Linked DNA regions of Oreochromis niloticus. The protein of the gene in region 1 purifies or fractionates together with the protein of each later gene. This does not show direct contact. Links are inferred from orthologs where the notes say so. Each region holds a gene or a part of one and is shown on either strand. Other genes may lie near its edges. The genes, in order: ptpn9a and lztr1.

Region 1 (8,377 bases):
GTGCCATATGTTTCTACCCAGAGTTCTTTGCGCCCCAGCTATTATTTTTCGGTCCTGTTTTACTAAAGATGTTCTAAAAGTTCTACCATCCTGTGTTCCCCAGCCTGAAAAACATAACCTGAAAAAGATGTCCTCCAGCTCTGTATTGGCATAGTGATGTGGGTTGACCCAAATAACAGGAGAGATAATGCATGATAGTGAAGTGAGTGTTAAACTGGAGGGGGGACAGGATACTGGGGCATAAAACTTTGGTAACAAAAATAGACTCTGAAACAGGGCGTGCTAATCTTTTTTTTTAAAAACAGCATTTTTAAAAAAACAGCATGTTATAGTTTTGTTTTTTGAATTGTCTTATAAAAACTTTTATATCCACCCCTCGATGCCTCCATAGACCAGCATAACTGTCGTGTATTTGTATCAACACTCACATTTTCTATACCTGGAAAAAGAACATAATTTTCTCCTTGTCTTGCTCTTACAGCGGTATCACTATTGTTCTCGCCACCTACGTGGAACATTGACAGGTGAAAATAACACGTTTCAACACTTCTGTGGGGTAGACTGATTCTGGGAAACGTAGATCACAAAGTGTACAATGCAACTGAAAGAAGTTCAGCATACCACATTTACACACGATAAGTCCTGGAAAGCATGATGTGGTTTGTGATGATGATTCAGTTAATTTTTTTTTTTTCTTTAACGAAGCATAATTCGGAAAAACAACAAGAAGCAACGTTTCCCAGTTTTCTTGCATTTGCGGTTAAAGGTTTCTGCAAAAAATCTAAAGAATACGCCTTGTGTAATCCAGAGCAAATTGACAAATGCAGTTCATCGAGTACAGTCGGATACTTCCTCTTTCACCTCTGTACTGAGAGACATGTCAAACAGAGCAAAGCGAGATGTGCGGTTACTGCAAGAATTCCGATATGACTCAGCAGTACTTTCCAGGAACCGAGCACCTGCCAATTCACAGATACATTTTTCATAGTGCTGTCAGTCTCCCCCCCTCCACACACACACAGACACAGATGCTCTGATCTTTACAAAAACCTTGTTACAAGACGTTTAAGGAGTGAAGCAGATTTGTGTTTCTTCTGCACATCTCTCTTTCTCTGTGCACGTCTGAGAGTAATATCAGTGAGAGCAAACTTCATCTGTGTGCCACGTTAATAAAAGAGTGTAAACTGCTGTTCAGGTCATTAAATCTCCTCAGTTCTTACGTACTGCACTAAGATCATACAGCTTCATGCAGCACTGGGTTCACAGAGTTTGGCTAAGTGTGTTTGTGTGTTTGCGAAATGCATTTAGCACCCATTTTAGACTTGATGTATAAAGCCTGAAGTGGCTCGTGTCATTAACCCGCATTATGTAAAACAACTTCAATCTTGTAGCGAACTGATTTTTTTTTTGGCAACAACTGTAGAGAACCTCACCTTCCTCTCTAGCTTTTATTGATGTGTTTATCAACTCTTGAAATCTTTATTTCTCACAGGTTTACTGCGTCCTTTTTTTTAGTTTTTTTAGTCAGATTGACACTATTAGGGGGAAGGGCTAAAGGTTTACCAATCACATTTTCCCAAAGGATGATGTCAGCTGGTTTCACAGGAAGTCTATTGTTGTCCACTCCCTTTTCCCTTTGGTTTTCAAGCAAGACTTTCTCACGCTTCAATATTTAAAGTTTGCTTATTGTGGGGGGAATAATCGTGCCTTCCAGTGTTCCTATATTTGATGGCCTACAGAAGCACGTTGACAAACACTCTGCCATCTTCCCTTCCTTCTCTATCGACCTATGTTGAGATAAGCACGGCCTCTCACTTTGTTTTGCATCATTTTACCTTTGCAGTCTCATTAAAACACCCAAAGGCGTGAAATGATGGCCTTCAATAGCTTTGTGGTATATGCAATCTCCTGGCTGCGCTCGAAATAACCTCCCTGCTGAACTATATGAGCAGCCCATAATATTCCAAGGGAGACCTGTATTGTGTCTGTGGCTCATGTTACAGTGACTTTATCGTGCTGTTGGGTATTTTCTCATTCTTATGATGTCATGCATTTCCTGTAAACTCTACTAGATTATAATGTAGCAAGAAGGAAGCAAGAGTTGAAAGTTTGACTAATTAAACTGCTATAAGTGCAACCAACTATTATGGATGGGCCTGCTCATATTATTATTTGTGTCTTCCCACTTTATGTAATGCATTAATAATGTGAATTGCTGGTTTGGGGAGTGCAGCTGTGATGTAGACTCAAAGCTGATGAAAAATGTGCACAAAGCTGCACACTATGAATGCAGATTACAGTGGCTGAAAATTACAATAACATTCTGCTTCAGATTGCATGTACCTTTAAGAAAGTTGCAATGCACAGCTTGACAAACTCAACAAACACCATGACACTGCAGTTAGTCCTACCTATGGTGCTTACTGGCTAATGGTGATTCTGGTGTTGCTCATTGGATTAATTGTGTTTTTAACCGAGAAAAGGCTGTTTGAGGTCGCAGTGCCAGCTCAATGGCAGAAAGAATAAAAGGAATGTTAACCCTTCATTAATAGGATTTAAAGTTCTTGAATCAGGAATACAGCTTGGAGTCCAACAAACAAACTAGCTGCAGCACTGTGCAAAAGTCTTGAGCCACCCCTTAATTCTTTATATTTTGCAAGAAAAATGGGAAATAGGTGGAGCAGTTTATGGAATTATGTGCAAACATGCATGGAATATGAGGAATTTATAAGGTATATAAAGTAAGTACAATTCTAACAAGCTTAATGAGGGTCAATATTTGGTATGGCCACCTTTATCCTCAACACAGCTTAAACTCTCTGAGGCAGCTTTCTTGTCATTTCTTTAAGTATCTTCAGGAATAGTTCTCCAGGCTCCTTGAAGGACATTCAAAGCTCTTCTTTGGATATTGGCTGTCTGTTGTTCTGCTTTCTGTTAAGATGATCACACACTGCTTCAATAATGTTGTGGTCGAGGCTCTGGGTAGGCCAATCCATGGCTGATGGCGTTCCATTCTTTGTTTTTTAATATCCAGATATGTTTTTATAGTGTGTTTGGGATCGTTTCCATGTTGAAAAATGAAGCTGATGCCAATCATATGGTTTCCAGATGGTAGTGCAATCTGACAGTACTATTCTGAGTTTATAATTCCATCAATTTTGACAAGATGTCCAACACCACTGGCTAAAATGCAGCCCCAAACTAAGACAGCCCCTCCACCGTGTTTCACAAATGTCTATAGAAAGTCACTGTTGTACCTCTACATGACCTGTTCTGTGCTTATTGATGACCATTTTTACCAAAATTTTCAAATCTGGAATCATCTCTTCATAAGACATGTTGCCACTGATTTTCAGTATTTACCTCAGAGTTTTCTTCACATTTTCTCTCCTTAAGAATGGCTTCTTGGCAGCCACCGCTCCACTGAGACCATTTCTGACAAGGTTTCGATGAACAGTGGATGGATCAACTACAGAGCCAAATGCATCTTTCAGATCCTGTCTCAGGTCTTTGCTGCTGTGGATAGGTTTTTTTGTTTGTTTGGGGTTTTGTTTAGTTTTTTTGGGGGGGGGGTGAACTATTTCTTCTTATGTCCTCTGTTTGTCCAATTTTCTTAGTATTTTTTTAGGAGACACTGCACACCGTGCAATGATATGCCAAGTATTTGGCTTTTGGGAATAACTTTATTTATGCAGAAAATCATTTTAATGCCTGTCAAAATGTGTTATCGTTGGCATTTTTCATAGATTTGACTAAGGAAATGTAAACAACTGGTATGGTTTTGCAACAGGGTGCTCGTAAAAAAGTGGCTTGAGAAAGAAATTAAAATTGGTTCTTTGCTAAGTTGTCTGTTACATGTATAAACAGCATGACTGGACTGAAAATGAATGAGAAACCAGCCAATGTCCAAAGAAAAACTTGGCAGTCTGGATAACTATTGCTCAATACTACTTAAAAAAAACAACAACAACAACAACAAAAAGAAAATGTGCACCCTTGCATGAGCAGTGAGCAGTGCCTCTAGACTGTACGCTAAAATATGCTAAGCTAACACTTTAATTGCACTAGCCCTTACATAAAATAGCCATCAGTTTTAGTTAACTCCTCACACTCAACAAGGTGTGTTACTAAGATTCTATTTTTAGTTAACATATTTAAAAATAGTCCAACATCCTCACCTGAAAATATAACTAGCATGCAAAGATATATTTTCAGTCAGCTAGTGCCTAGCTGCTAGAGTTTACACCTTTTGCTTCTTTGCTTACATTACCTTAGAAATATTAGAAAGTAAGTAAATACAGGGCCAGACTCGCTGATACCAAAACCGATACAGACACATTTAACCTATAAAGGCAGCTTATTTACGGGTTGTGATTACTTTCCACGATATTTAGTTAATACAACAAAACACACATTCAAGCTGTTCGTGTATGTTCATAACTGTGACAGAGACAGGTCTCTAATGCACTTTGGGTCAACTTATGTGGTTTAAATGTACCATAGTGCATGTTTGAGGTTTATTTTTTTCCATTTCCAAAAGAATAATTTACCAGTGGGCTGCATACCGAACTTAGAGGATAGAAAAAGTAACGCCAGCATTGCTATTGATACTATAAATATTCGGATTCATCCGCTCAACTCTAGAAAACATTAAATGTTCATTCAAACTTGTTAGAATTAGTAGTAGTATTATAAAAATAGAAAGTTCCAGTTGCTTTAGGATAAATGCTGAAAAACTATAGATTTCACTTGAAATATAGCCTCCCTAGTCAAAACTACTCACTTAATTAGCTAAATTGAGATTAACTGAGGTCAAATTTTGTACTTACAGGAAACATAATATAATAATACATATCACTGAACGCACTCTTCACGTGTTCTTTTTCAAATAAAGCATCCATTTAGGTTTAACCATGTTAAGAGTGGCGTTTTTCCCTTGTTAGTTTTCTATTTTTATGAATGAAGGCGGAGGTCAGTGTGCTTTCGTCATGTTCTCGACTTATCCACCAGGGGGGGGCGCAGCGATACGCAGAGAGAAAAGCCTGCGGTCTCTCGCGGTGCTCAGGGTCGTGCGCGTGTCACCGTCTCACAGCATAAAGGCGAGGTTCACAGCCCCAAAACTTGCGATACATGGCATGGAGGAGGCAGCGGGCAGCCGCAGTCCGACGTATGCTAAGTTAGGTGGAGGAGCTGCACAACACGGTCTGAACCCGAGCTGAATGAAGCGAGTCCTCGTCTAAGCTGTTCCGAGCGCCGTGCTTTTTTTCCTCCTTCCCTTTTCCATTTCCAATTTCCTTCTCGGTGAAATCTGACACATCAGCGGCTCGCTCGAGTTTGTAGACTGGTAGATTTATGCTAATTGGCCCGCGTGCTTCGCGATCGCAGGCGGTATCAGGAGCGAACACACTCGGCTAAAAACTGTGGCGTTTTTAGATGCCTTCAAGTTTGTGAGCGAGAGGGACAACCCCTCTCCTCCACCTCCTCCTCCAAACCCCGTTTTTTTCACACGAGGGACAGACACACCGACATCACCGCCATCCTCTGCTGTATGAAACGGAGCAGTGTCGGGAAGGAAACAAAAAAAAAGAAGTGGTCAAAGATTTGACGGGAATCATGGCAGCTACTTTATCAGCGGAGGAAGAGCAGGTAGGCCCCGAGAGTCCGTGTCTTTTCCACTTCTTCGTTTCTGGGTTATGTTGGCTAAAAATAAATAAATAAAAATCTTTCAGTCTCGAGACTCTACCTGGAGGCTTTTTTTTTTTTTTTGCCCTGTGTACTGAGAGTGCGCAAATGGTGGCTGTGCTCCGAAACGGTCCTGAATGCAGAGCGGAAATATTGTATCGATTTCTGGCGCATTACTGCTCTCGTTGCATCACTGTCAGCGGCTGAGCTGATGGGCTGCAGCACAGGCCGAGCTTGTCTTTATCGCCCCCCCAGAAAATGGAAGGGAAGGGGGGGCATGTTTGTTTCGTGTGTCGTAGTTAAACACGGTGATATTGACGGGAAACTGCTTGGCCGCGAGAGTCGGAAACGCTGGCCGGTCTTTGACAAAATGTACACAGTAGAAACTTGGCTCAGCGTAAAGAGTCCTGCATGCTCATGCCGTGCCATCCGAGCACATTTTAACGCACATATCGCCGCACTTTCTAAGTTAAGGATGGAGGAAGTGCGTTTCTCTCAAATATTTGAGTACTTTGTTGTTTGCTTTAAGTAAAAATAGGCGTGCAAACTCTGTCTCCACACTCTTAAACACCAGCTTTAAGTCATCATATCGTTTTCGATATTATTGGCCTGTTTTTCTACTTCGAGGCTTGGAAGTATTGAGAAGTGAGAGAATTCTGAGAAAACTATTCCAAGAACAGGAATTGGCCTATTGGCTCATTCTAGGCGTCAAGAACTCGGAGCCCGAAGAACGGAGCGTTTATTCTAGGAATGATGAGACTCTTGATTATTGGAGCAGAAGGATTTGCTTGATAAATCCCTTAGATGATGGACAAATAAGCAGCCAGCCTTTGTTTTTGTTTGTTTATTGAGGTAATATCTGAACAGGTCCTCAAGTGTGAAGATTTACTTGTTTGCTCTTTTTTGACTTGTGATTTTTGAGTTGAATATTCCTGCGATTTCAAGTATTTAATCATATGAGGATGGAAATCCTTTACAGACCTAGCTATAAAACAAAGTGTAGTAGTAGAATTATGCATGGATGGTAGAGGTGGGCAGATCGAAATATCGATGCCGATGCTGGTATCGGTATCTTACATAGGCGAGTTCAGACCCTTTTTAGGGGTGCTCAGGCATCCCTAAAGAAAACTGCCCAGTGTTGTTGGTGCCATGATGATTCAGTCTCTCACAGAGGCGTTGCTGCTTCAGCAGTGTGGTTTGTCATTAATACTCTAGATAAGACTTGACTAAGAATATGCAGAGGTAATTTCATGACACAAATCAGTGATGCAGATTGAAAAACTAAATGGTGTCAAAAACTTTAGCTAATGTAGCCTAAATCACCAGAGATTATTCACTAATTTTAGCTTTTCGAGCCACTAGTCTGCTGGCAGCTAGTGATATACCAGCAAAAGAGCTGATGTACTTTATTTGTGCACTTTTTAGTTTGTTAAAGATTTCTATTCCGGTTCTGCGCTTCATTGTTTGTCTACAGTACAGCTCCAGATCCAGGTGAGAGCAAGTCGAAAGGAAGTTTACGTCCAGTAGCAGCCTGTAGTTAGTCTGAATATTGTTATAAATGAGGATCAGTTTATGCCTTTTATTGGTTTGTAAGTTCTGCTTCACTGTTATAATTTAACTTTTGGGTAACAGCACAAAGTTGAAGAGAACAGAAGCGAGCACAATGAAGACAGAGAGGAAAACAAACGGGCAAGAGTGGACTTGTAGTCAAGGTCAACAAAATTATAAAGGGAGTGTTGCTTCTGTTTTGCCCATATTCTTTGATAATGATTTTTTTTCTGACTCAGTGTCTAGGTGGGTTCTCTCCAGGTACTCTGGCTTCCTCCCACAGTGTAAACACATGCAGTCAGTGGGGTTATGTTAAGTGGTGATTCTAAACTGCTCATAGGTCTGTATGGTTGTCTGTCTTTTAGTCATGTGACAGTCTGGCAACTCGTCCAGGGTGTAGCCCACCATTCGCCCTATGGCAGCTGGGATAGACTCCAGCCTCCCCACAACCCTAATAAGTATAAGTGAAAGAGAATGGATGGATGGATAATTTTACATGCATTTAATGGAAGCTTTGTGTGCATACTTAAAAATGTCAGTAGACGCTCTAAAGAACATATTTATTGATATGTATAGCAGCATTTGACAGGATTCATTTAGCTCTAAACATGGCTTGAACAGGATCAGAAGTGGGGTTTTCCCAGTTTTATTTATACAGCACGAAATCACAGCAGTCACCTCAGGGTGCTTTATATTGTAAGGTAGACCTTACAACAGTCATGACTCCCTATGAGCAAGCACTTTGGTGACAGTGGGAAGGAAGAAAGCTCCAGCAGAACCAGGCTCAGAGAAGGGAGGCTATCTGCAGCGACCGGCTGGGGTGAGGGGAGGAAGATGGGACAAAACACATGCTGTGGAAGAGAGCCAGAGATTAATAACAAGTAATGATTCAATGGAGAGAGGTCTGTTAACACATAGTGTGGGAGAAAAGCGACTGAAGAAGAAATACTCAATGCATCATGGGAATCCCCGGCAGCCTACACCTATTGCAGCATAACAAAGGGAGGATTCAGGGTCACCTGATCCAGCCCTAACTATATGCTCTAGCATACAGAAAGGATTTTCCACTTTCTGTATTGAAAAATGCTACTTTAAGTGCTTGATGATTTGGTTGACTTCCTCTGTGTGGTTAAGACACTGAACCAGT
Region 2 (8,696 bases), on another chromosome or scaffold:
TCACAGCATATTTAGAGACAATTTCCACAAAACCCATATGTCTTTATAGTTTGTTCTCATTTTCCTCTATGTAGGGTTCCGGTGCCTTATTCCTGTGCACACCGTCCAACACAGTCCCAGCACAAATCAACCATCAACAATTCAGACACTGCCTACACCTGTACTCCTAAAGTTGATATCATGTTCATGAAGACCCATAAAACAGCCAGCAGCACCTTCCTTAACATCCTTTTCCGGTTTGGAGAGAAACACCGGGTCAAATTTGCTTTTCCTGACAGCAGAAATGACTTCTTCTACCCATCTTTTTTCCAGCGCTCCCAGGTTAAAGACTACAGACCGGGAATGTGTTTCAACATTATCTGTAATCACATGCGCTTCAATGCACCTGAAGTGTCCAAGTTGCTGCCTGTGGACACATCCTACATCACCATTCTGCGAGACCCTGCAGAGCTTTTTGAATCTTCCTTCCACTACTTTGGCCGCCTGGTGCCTTTTACTTGGAAGATACCAGGTGACGACAAGCTGGCTGAGTTCCTACGTGATCCCCACAAGTACTTTGATCCAGGGAGCTTCAACTCTTACTACCTCAAGAATCTGCTGTTTTTTGACTTTGGACTGGACAACTCTCTGGATGTGAATGATCCACGAGTGGAAGAAGGAATCAAATTCATCAGTGACCGTTTTCAGCTGGTCATGTTAGTGGAACACTTTGAGGAATCACTCATCCTGCTAAAGGATGCCCTCTGCTGGGAGATGGATGATTTGCTCTTCTTTAAGCTCAATATCCGTAAGGGATCCACTTTGTCTAAATTTACTCCTGAGCTGAGAGCTAGGGCCCTTGAGTGGAATGCTATTGATTGGAAGCTATATCAGCATTTTAATCAAACTTTCTGGAAGAAAGTAGACGCGTACGGGCACCAGCGTATGGCTGAGGATGTGGCAGAGCTCAAGAAGAGGAACAAGGAGATGACATCTATCTGCATTGAGGGTGGCCATGCTGTAGAAGCTGGCAGCATCCAAGAGAAAGACATGCAGCCCTGGCAGCCAATCGGAGAGAAGTCTATCATGGGCTATAATTTAAAAAAGAATATAGACAAAGCACATCGGAATCTGTGCCGCAAGATGTTAATGCCTGAGATTCAGTACTTAACAGAGCTTGGGGTGAACCTCTGGATTACCAAGTTGTGGGGCCATGTCCGAGATATAATTAACTGGTAACTCAGTGTGTGAGCACCAGGGGCCAATTTAAATCTGAAACACTGTATTAAGAAGTACTGCGTGGTTGACAGAATGAGAGGTTAATAACGTGTCATATTTTCTGTCTCTTTGCCTGTTTGAATTGTACATGGTTGTGCACTGTGATGTACATGATGAGAGCTTGAGAAAAAAGAAGTTATGCTCTACAAATACTGAATCAGTTTACGACATGCAGCCGAGGCTTAGTATTCTCCACTATGAGTCCGTTTAATTGTTCTTACTCTCAGATGTCAGCTTGTTCTAATGGAGTACTTGACATAACTATGAAGTTCACAATGACGTTCTAAAGCACTTTGATGGATTGATAAGAAATATTTATTTCCATCCCTGAGAAATTTCTGAGATTTTGGAAACATGGAAGGAATATCAGTTGGTTTGTAGTAAATGACGTCTTTGATGATCATTTGAAAAAGTCAAAACATTTCATTTCTAAGTGACTGATTCCCCACTAAGGACTGAAATATATGTGAAAATATGCAACTACTTTACTATCTGTGGAGGACAAAATCAGTCCTGATTTTAAAAAGTATGTGAATATCTCTCTCTCTCTCTCTATACATATATATATGTGTGTATATATATATATATACATATGTATGTATGTATGTATATATATATAACTTTTTTTAAATGAATGGCATTAGCTATCAGTCTACTTGAGAGTTCTATCACTACAAATTCTAAATCAAATCATCATTAATGTTATCAACTATAAACGTGCTTCTCCATGTCTGTCATGTAATATGTTTAATAAGGAATCAATAAATGAAAGAGCCATTAAAAATGATGTAATTAGCTGTAAAAAAAAAAAAAAAACAACTTAATTTTATAGGATAAATGTTGCATTTCCAGCTATATCAATGTTTTTTCTTCATGTGAGAACTTTACTGTTCAGTTTTCGTTTTGCTGCTTATATTTCAGTGATAATCAACAATAATGTGTTGCTCTTGCCAGTTGTTTTGGGAGGTAGAGTGACAATGTGATGTGACTTGTGTAGAGAGCAGGCAAATAACCTACACTGAAAAAAGAACCAACTTAATTGAATTGTTTCAATTGGTAACACCTAATTTAATTAAGTTCTTTGAAATGAAGTTAATACATTAGAGTGCACAACTGATTTATCTAATGTATTAACTTCATTTCAAAGAACTTAATTAAATTAGGTGTTACCAATTGAAACAATTCAATTAAGTTGGTTCACCTATTTTCTTTTTACAGTGTAAAACATATGTCTGTCAAGTAAGATCCTACCTAAATGTACAATGACCAAGAGTGTTAAACACCACTCGCATGTCTACACAGCCTTATTATCAGAACCACTCATAAGAAATGCAATTTCATTTCATTAATTTATGTTTTGTTAATGCTCTTCATCATTCGTTAAACACTTTAGTTTTGTAAATTCACCTATAATATTTAGTCAGTATTTCTTTCCATTCAGTATTGTCTTTTCTTAATGTTTTGTATTATTAATGATTTGATTTTAACTAATGTCCTGATTTTGTTCTCCATACAATAATCCATTGTTACTACCAATATATGATAAGCTAAGTCTCACAATAAAATGAATAGTAATATTGTTTATTTAAAACAACCATTTAATTTTGTTGAATGACAGCCCTGGGAAATATCTGTTCCTAAAAATGATGGGTTAAGATAAATGACCATATTGTATCAGCCTATGGATGGGTGAATAACATTTCACAAGTTTCCTGTTAAAATGAGCATTTGGTGCAGATAATGCCTCAAAATGGTAGTGGTTCCAAACGGACCTATTAAAGCATTTATTTTGATCATCAGTGTTAGAAAAGTGTAATTAAATCCACTGTGATTTGTTGTTATAAAATAAAAAAATAAAACATGAAAAGTTCAGTGAGGATGGTTATGTTTTTAACAGAAACTGCATGATCACAATACTTATTCATTGCTTGGAGATGTTCTTAACATTTGTGTTAAGACAGTCATAGACTTACAAACACTGTTAAGTCTACGGTTTTACATATCAGGATGTATGTAACCCTTAACAGGAATTAAAATTTGACAAATAAAACCTGAAATGAACAACGACACTTGACATATTACACTGTGCCATTATTGATAATTGAAAGACTACACCTTTCATTTCTGACTTCATTGGAATTAAGAGGGTTATTAGCAGCAGTGCTGCTAATCAAACCCACTTGATTAATTGGATCTTGATTAATTGACATGAAAGCAGAAGTTTTGGGAGTTTGCTAGTCTGGAGCAGCAACATGCTGTAAGGATTTTGGACAGGAGTGCGTTTGCGGAGGGTGAAAACCACTCTCCCTGTCCAAATAGAGACACACATGCTGACCATGCTGAATAAAGTATGCTTAAAGTTACATTATGTAACTGTTATGTGGAAGGTTATAGCACAGATTAAAAGGAGTTTCCGGTTGCATTGTAAATTACAATGCAGATTCCTAGCTGAAGCATTAACCTCCCAAGTTCAACTGCATATTCGCTAGCTACGGTGGCTGCTATAGGACAAACATGCTTTAGGTAAGAGCGATAAAGAGGGCATGAAACACTGCATTTGTTGAGAGAAATTTACACCATGGAGCCCTACTCTAAAACTGTAAAGCTGTATTTAAGAAATAGGCTTTAAACGTTTTAGAGAATGTTTGGTTTTATTTTATCCCAGTAAAGACTGTCACTGCGTTGTTTGGTTGGTTGCTGTTAATAAATTAATGTTAGTTTATATTAGCTAACTCGTGAGAGAACCAATAACTTTTAAAGTTTTAGGTTCCTTGAAGGAGAGCTTGTTTAAGTTCTTTGCATGGAAAAAAAAATCGACGTTAGTCTTCTTCTTTTGTAAAATAATAAGTTCCAAGCCAAAACAATATTTTTTCTTTTGTCTGTTGCATACATCAATCTATTGTTCATGCAGACATGTTTATGGATGTCAGGATTCCCGGTCATGCTTTGGTAAGACAGTTAAGTTTGTGGTGTGATGCGCATGTGGTAACCCTGTATGCTGTAAATTCAAACATGATATGCTTGGGAAAAGAGATAATTTTAATACATATAATACTAATGATCACATCTTGTAGACATCTGCTTTGCCTGTTGATTTCTCTGCTCGGTGTGTCCAACCGAACAGACAAGGAAAAATCAAACACAGAGGGGATTTTGTCTGACTCCTGCTTTTCAGTTTGGTGAGCCACTGGGGCACCTGACTCAAACAGGCCATCCTTCACAAAACCCTCATTTATTAAGTTATCTATAACCCCTTTTCAGTCCAGCTAGCTAACAACAGAGAACCACTTACTGCTTCAGAGAAAAAGAGTGAAAGTGGACACTATATCCTTGTTTTTAACATAAAACTCATTGCTGCTACCAGGAGCAGCAATGAGTGACTGCTGCTTTTTTAGCTTTAGTTTCCTTATTTTCTTTCTTTGTTTTTTTTACTTTTAGGTTATTGATTCTGTCACTAGTTAGCTAACATAAACTAAACTAATGTGTCTACAACCAACCGAGGAACTCAGCGATATCACATTCTATACTGGCACAAGATGGTGCTTAACGTGCTTTAAAATCTTTAATTTCAAAGACTCTTTTCCAAATTCCAGCTTTACAGACGGTGCTAAATCTATGACAGGTTTTTAGAGTAGGGCTCCAAACTGTAAATTAACGTTAATACCTATAGGTACTATATATAGTGTTTCATGTCAACTTCAAATGTGCACATACTACTCAAGATTACAGGACTGAAAGCATTTTGACTCCGCCTTTTCAACATTACAGGAAGTGAAGTACCCGCAGGGTTGTGGGGGGCGTGGATTTACCACTGCTTTTGATTTCTTGGTGTTGTTTTTTGTGTCTAATATCATGACATCGTAGGTATCGAACCGGTTAGCCAGATGTTTTAGCGCAACGTTAGCGTTGTTCGTTAACTTGTCGTTTTCTTCTTCATGTTGCTAGTTTTGGGGCGTAGCATTAGCTAGAGGCTAGCTAGCTAGCCAGGATTAGCTGAGCTTTTTTGTAGCTAACAGTTCTCTGGAGGACAACAGCCTCAGTCTTTAACAAAGAAGACTTGGGTAAGAGTAGTACCAATGTCACTCCAGATTTACATGTGGTGACAGAAGTATTAGCACTTATGCTGGGGCATTAACAGCGTCGTTAATCGTTCACGTCCCTGCAGATGAGTGGCCCTGACATCTGATTGAGCCGGGGAGTTAGCAAAAACATGTCCTGTAAGTCAACTAAAGTGGCTCCGAGTGTTGATTTCGACCACAGCTGCTCTGACAGCGTGGAATATTTGACACTTAATTTCGGCCCATTTGAGACTGTTCATCGCTGGAGAAGACTCCCTCCGTGCGATGAGTTTGTTGGTGCAAGGTAAGGTGTGGACAGATGAGCAGCAGCATCTTCACTCAAACTGAATACCTGTGGTCTTATTGAACTTCATGCGGCTTCACGCAGGCGCAGCAAACACACTGTGGTGGCTTACAGAGATGCAATATATGTGTTCGGGGGAGACAATGGGTAAGGGCTACAAGACTTTGCAGACATTTTTCAGATATATGTATTAGTTATTATATGTATGTGAGAATTCTGTGTCACCCAACAGCAAAAACATGCTGAATGATCTCCTTCGCTTTGATGTGAAGGATTGTTCCTGGTGTCGGTAAGGCTATAGCCTCACAGCCACAGTTGATTTGATTTTACTTTGTTGCAATACATATCACAATCCACGGAATATCCCAGATTAACACATATTTAAATTTTAAGACCATCATAGTGTGCATGCAGTGAGTATCAGAACAAGGAGCACTAAAAAGTAATCATAAAGATCAGCTTATTTCCACAGTGGACACTTTTTTTGAAAGTATTACAATACAAGACACCAAATCAGCCAGAGTATATATAAAACATACACAATCTTAACCGTATAATAAAATAGAAGTTGACACATGTCTATAATTCACAGAGCTTTCACCACTGGAACGCCACCTGCCCCCAGATACCACCACTCAGCTGTGGTCTATGGCAGCAGCATGTTTGTATTTGGTAAATCCTTAATTATCTATAAAAGTCCTTTATTTTATCCATTTTAAACTCTGGTGGCATTTTTGTAATGTTCAACTTTGATATTTTCTAGGGGGCTACACTGGAGACATTTACTCAAATTCAAACCTGAAAAACAAAAATGACCTTTTTGAGTACAAGTTTGCTACAGGACAGTGGACTGAATGGAAAGTGGAGGGAAGGTAATGTATTAACTTGTTTCTTTTTAATAATGACCAAACATTGTCATTGTTATTGTGTCCCATGATATTATTGTATCTTGCCTCCGTGGTTTCCACCCTTAATACTTTAGGTCAGGGGTGTCGAACTCCAGGCCTTGAGGGCCAGTGTCCTGCAGGTTTTAGATCTCACCCTGGGTCAACACATCCGAATCAAATGATTAGTTCATTATCAGGCCTCTGGAGAACTTCAACTCATGTTGAGGAGGTCATTTAGCCACTTAAGAACAAGAATAAGAATAACTTTATTTATCCCGAGGGAAATTCTTTTGTTATGTACATGCTCAAAGCAGCAGGAGACAGAGGAACAGATGAATAAGATATAAGATATACAATATATACAATAAGAATAGTAAAATAGTTAAATCAGCTGTGTTGGATCAAGGACACATCTAAAACTTGCAGGACACCGACCCTCAAGGCCTGGAGTTCAACACCTGTGCTTTAGGTTGTCTGGAGGATAAAATATGTTGGAAAAACTGTGGGCGCGTTTGGCATGTGCCTTTATGTTTACTGGCTGAACTAAAACTTTAGAGGAGCTCACACTGTGCACAGTTGCCTTCTACTATGTCCTAGCATGACAGCCCCCACTCCCCAATCCTCTACTTGCCTGCACTCACACCAAAGTTAATGATCCAGCCACAAGTACATATCAATTTGTCTCTGCATCAGCTTTTTAATAAAATTTTATGCTTTTTGTGGCTTCTTAACTGGGCAATCAAAAAATTAATTACACAAAATAATTTTACAGTACATGAATAAGCATTACAGTTCTGCGTTTAGCTGTAGTTGATGCTTATTAACATCAGTATCTTCAAGTTGGCCTAGACAGAGTTCTTTTGGTCGGTCATTTTAAAGCAGAGGTGGGGAACGCCAGGACTCAAAGGTCGGTGTCCTGCAGGTTGATACTGAAAACACCGGCCCTTGAGCCTTGGAGTTCCCCACCCCTGCTTTAAAGGCTTAAACCCTCATCAGTTCAAAAATGGCCCTGCAAACGTATGTCATCAACATGATGTAATAGATGGTTGGTGGGTTTTTTTAGATATTCCAAGTAGTCTGTGATTCTTCGCAAAATTGCTGATAAAAGTTAAGCCCACCTACTTCAAAAATTAATCCCATAGTATCTCTAATCCACAGTCTTGCGGACAGCTTATTTTAATCCAGGACAAGCAAAATCTACAACTGTTTTAAGTCTTTGCAGGGACCTTTGAGGTACAGAGGCAAATAAAAATTTAGTCTGGGACTATGCTTAAGTGTTGACTGTGAATCTCTGTTCCAGCTTGCCAGTGGCCAGATCTGCACATGGGGCCACAGTCTACAGTGATAAACTCTGGATATTTGCTGGTTATGATGGAAATGCCAGGTATGCATGAATTTTTTTTTGTTTTCATTTTCTGCAGATGTATTTATTTTTGAGCATAACCTTGGTGACTATTTCGCCCACGTATAGGTTGAACGACATGTGGACCATCAGTCTGCAGGACCGAGAGCACGCGTGCTGGGAAGAGGTATGTTTAATTCATTTTCACAACAAAAGAGAACAACATTTAAAGTTAAAGACTCAGAAACCCTTGGTCAGCGTTCACGTCTGTCTTTGTGTCCATCAGATCGATCAGAGTGGTGAAATTCCGCCGTCTTGCTGCAACTTCCCTGTCGCCGTATGCAGGGACAAGATGTTTGTGTTTTCTGGACAGAGTGGAGCCAAAATTACTAACAACCTCTTTCAGTTTGAGTTCCAAGGCCACATGTAAGCAGAACCCTTTTTTTTTTTTAAATCATTCAGCTACTTATACTATATTTACCAGCATTACCTGACACTCATAACTCCCATTTTCTCAGGTGGACACGTATACCAACTGAACATTTGCTGCGGGGCTCCCCTCCACCTCCGCAGAGGCGCTATGGACACACTATGGTTGCCTTTGACCGCCACCTGTATGTATTTGGAGGTGCTGCTGACAACACCCTGCCCAATGAGCTGCACTGCTATGATGTTGACTCTCAGACCTGGGAGGTGATTCAACCCAGCCATGACAGTGAGGTATGAAAAAATTTGGAAAACTTTCATTGTTTGTGTGATATCATTCATTTGTTGACACAAAGAACTATGTTGTGGAGGTAGATGAATGATATCACAAATATTTTTTATTAGGACAGTAAATTATTAAA

Evidence for each region.
Region 2: the proteins of ptpn9a (region 1) and lztr1 purify together in Homo sapiens (affinity purification with mass spectrometry; 3 studies listed by BioGRID and IntAct, with this or other methods). This does not show direct contact. The link is inferred for Oreochromis niloticus from reciprocal best matches to the Homo sapiens genes PTPN9 and LZTR1.

The regions. Positions count from the first base shown.
Region 1 is NC_031972.2:44,377,743-44,386,119, reverse strand, and holds the start of ptpn9a (tyrosine-protein phosphatase non-receptor type 9), read left to right. Parts: upstream 1-5,024; 5' UTR 5,025-5,613; coding exon 5,614-5,646; intron 5,647-8,377. UniProt on the Homo sapiens protein: Protein-tyrosine phosphatase that could participate in the transfer of hydrophobic ligands or in functions of the Golgi apparatus.
Region 2 is NC_031977.2:17,829,705-17,838,400, reverse strand, and holds the start of lztr1 (leucine-zipper-like transcriptional regulator 1), read left to right. Parts: upstream 1-5,006; 5' UTR 5,007-5,467; coding exon 5,468-5,619; intron 5,620-5,703; coding exon 5,704-5,766; intron 5,767-5,851; coding exon 5,852-5,908; intron 5,909-6,211; coding exon 6,212-6,291; intron 6,292-6,382; coding exon 6,383-6,491; intron 6,492-7,806; coding exon 7,807-7,890; intron 7,891-7,977; coding exon 7,978-8,035; intron 8,036-8,134; coding exon 8,135-8,274; intron 8,275-8,366; coding exon 8,367-8,568; intron 8,569-8,696. Other genes in the region: gal3st1a (galactosylceramide sulfotransferase), read left to right, coding at 75-1,218. UniProt on the Homo sapiens protein: Substrate-specific adapter of a BCR (BTB-CUL3-RBX1) E3 ubiquitin-protein ligase complex that mediates ubiquitination of Ras (K-Ras/KRAS, N-Ras/NRAS and H-Ras/HRAS).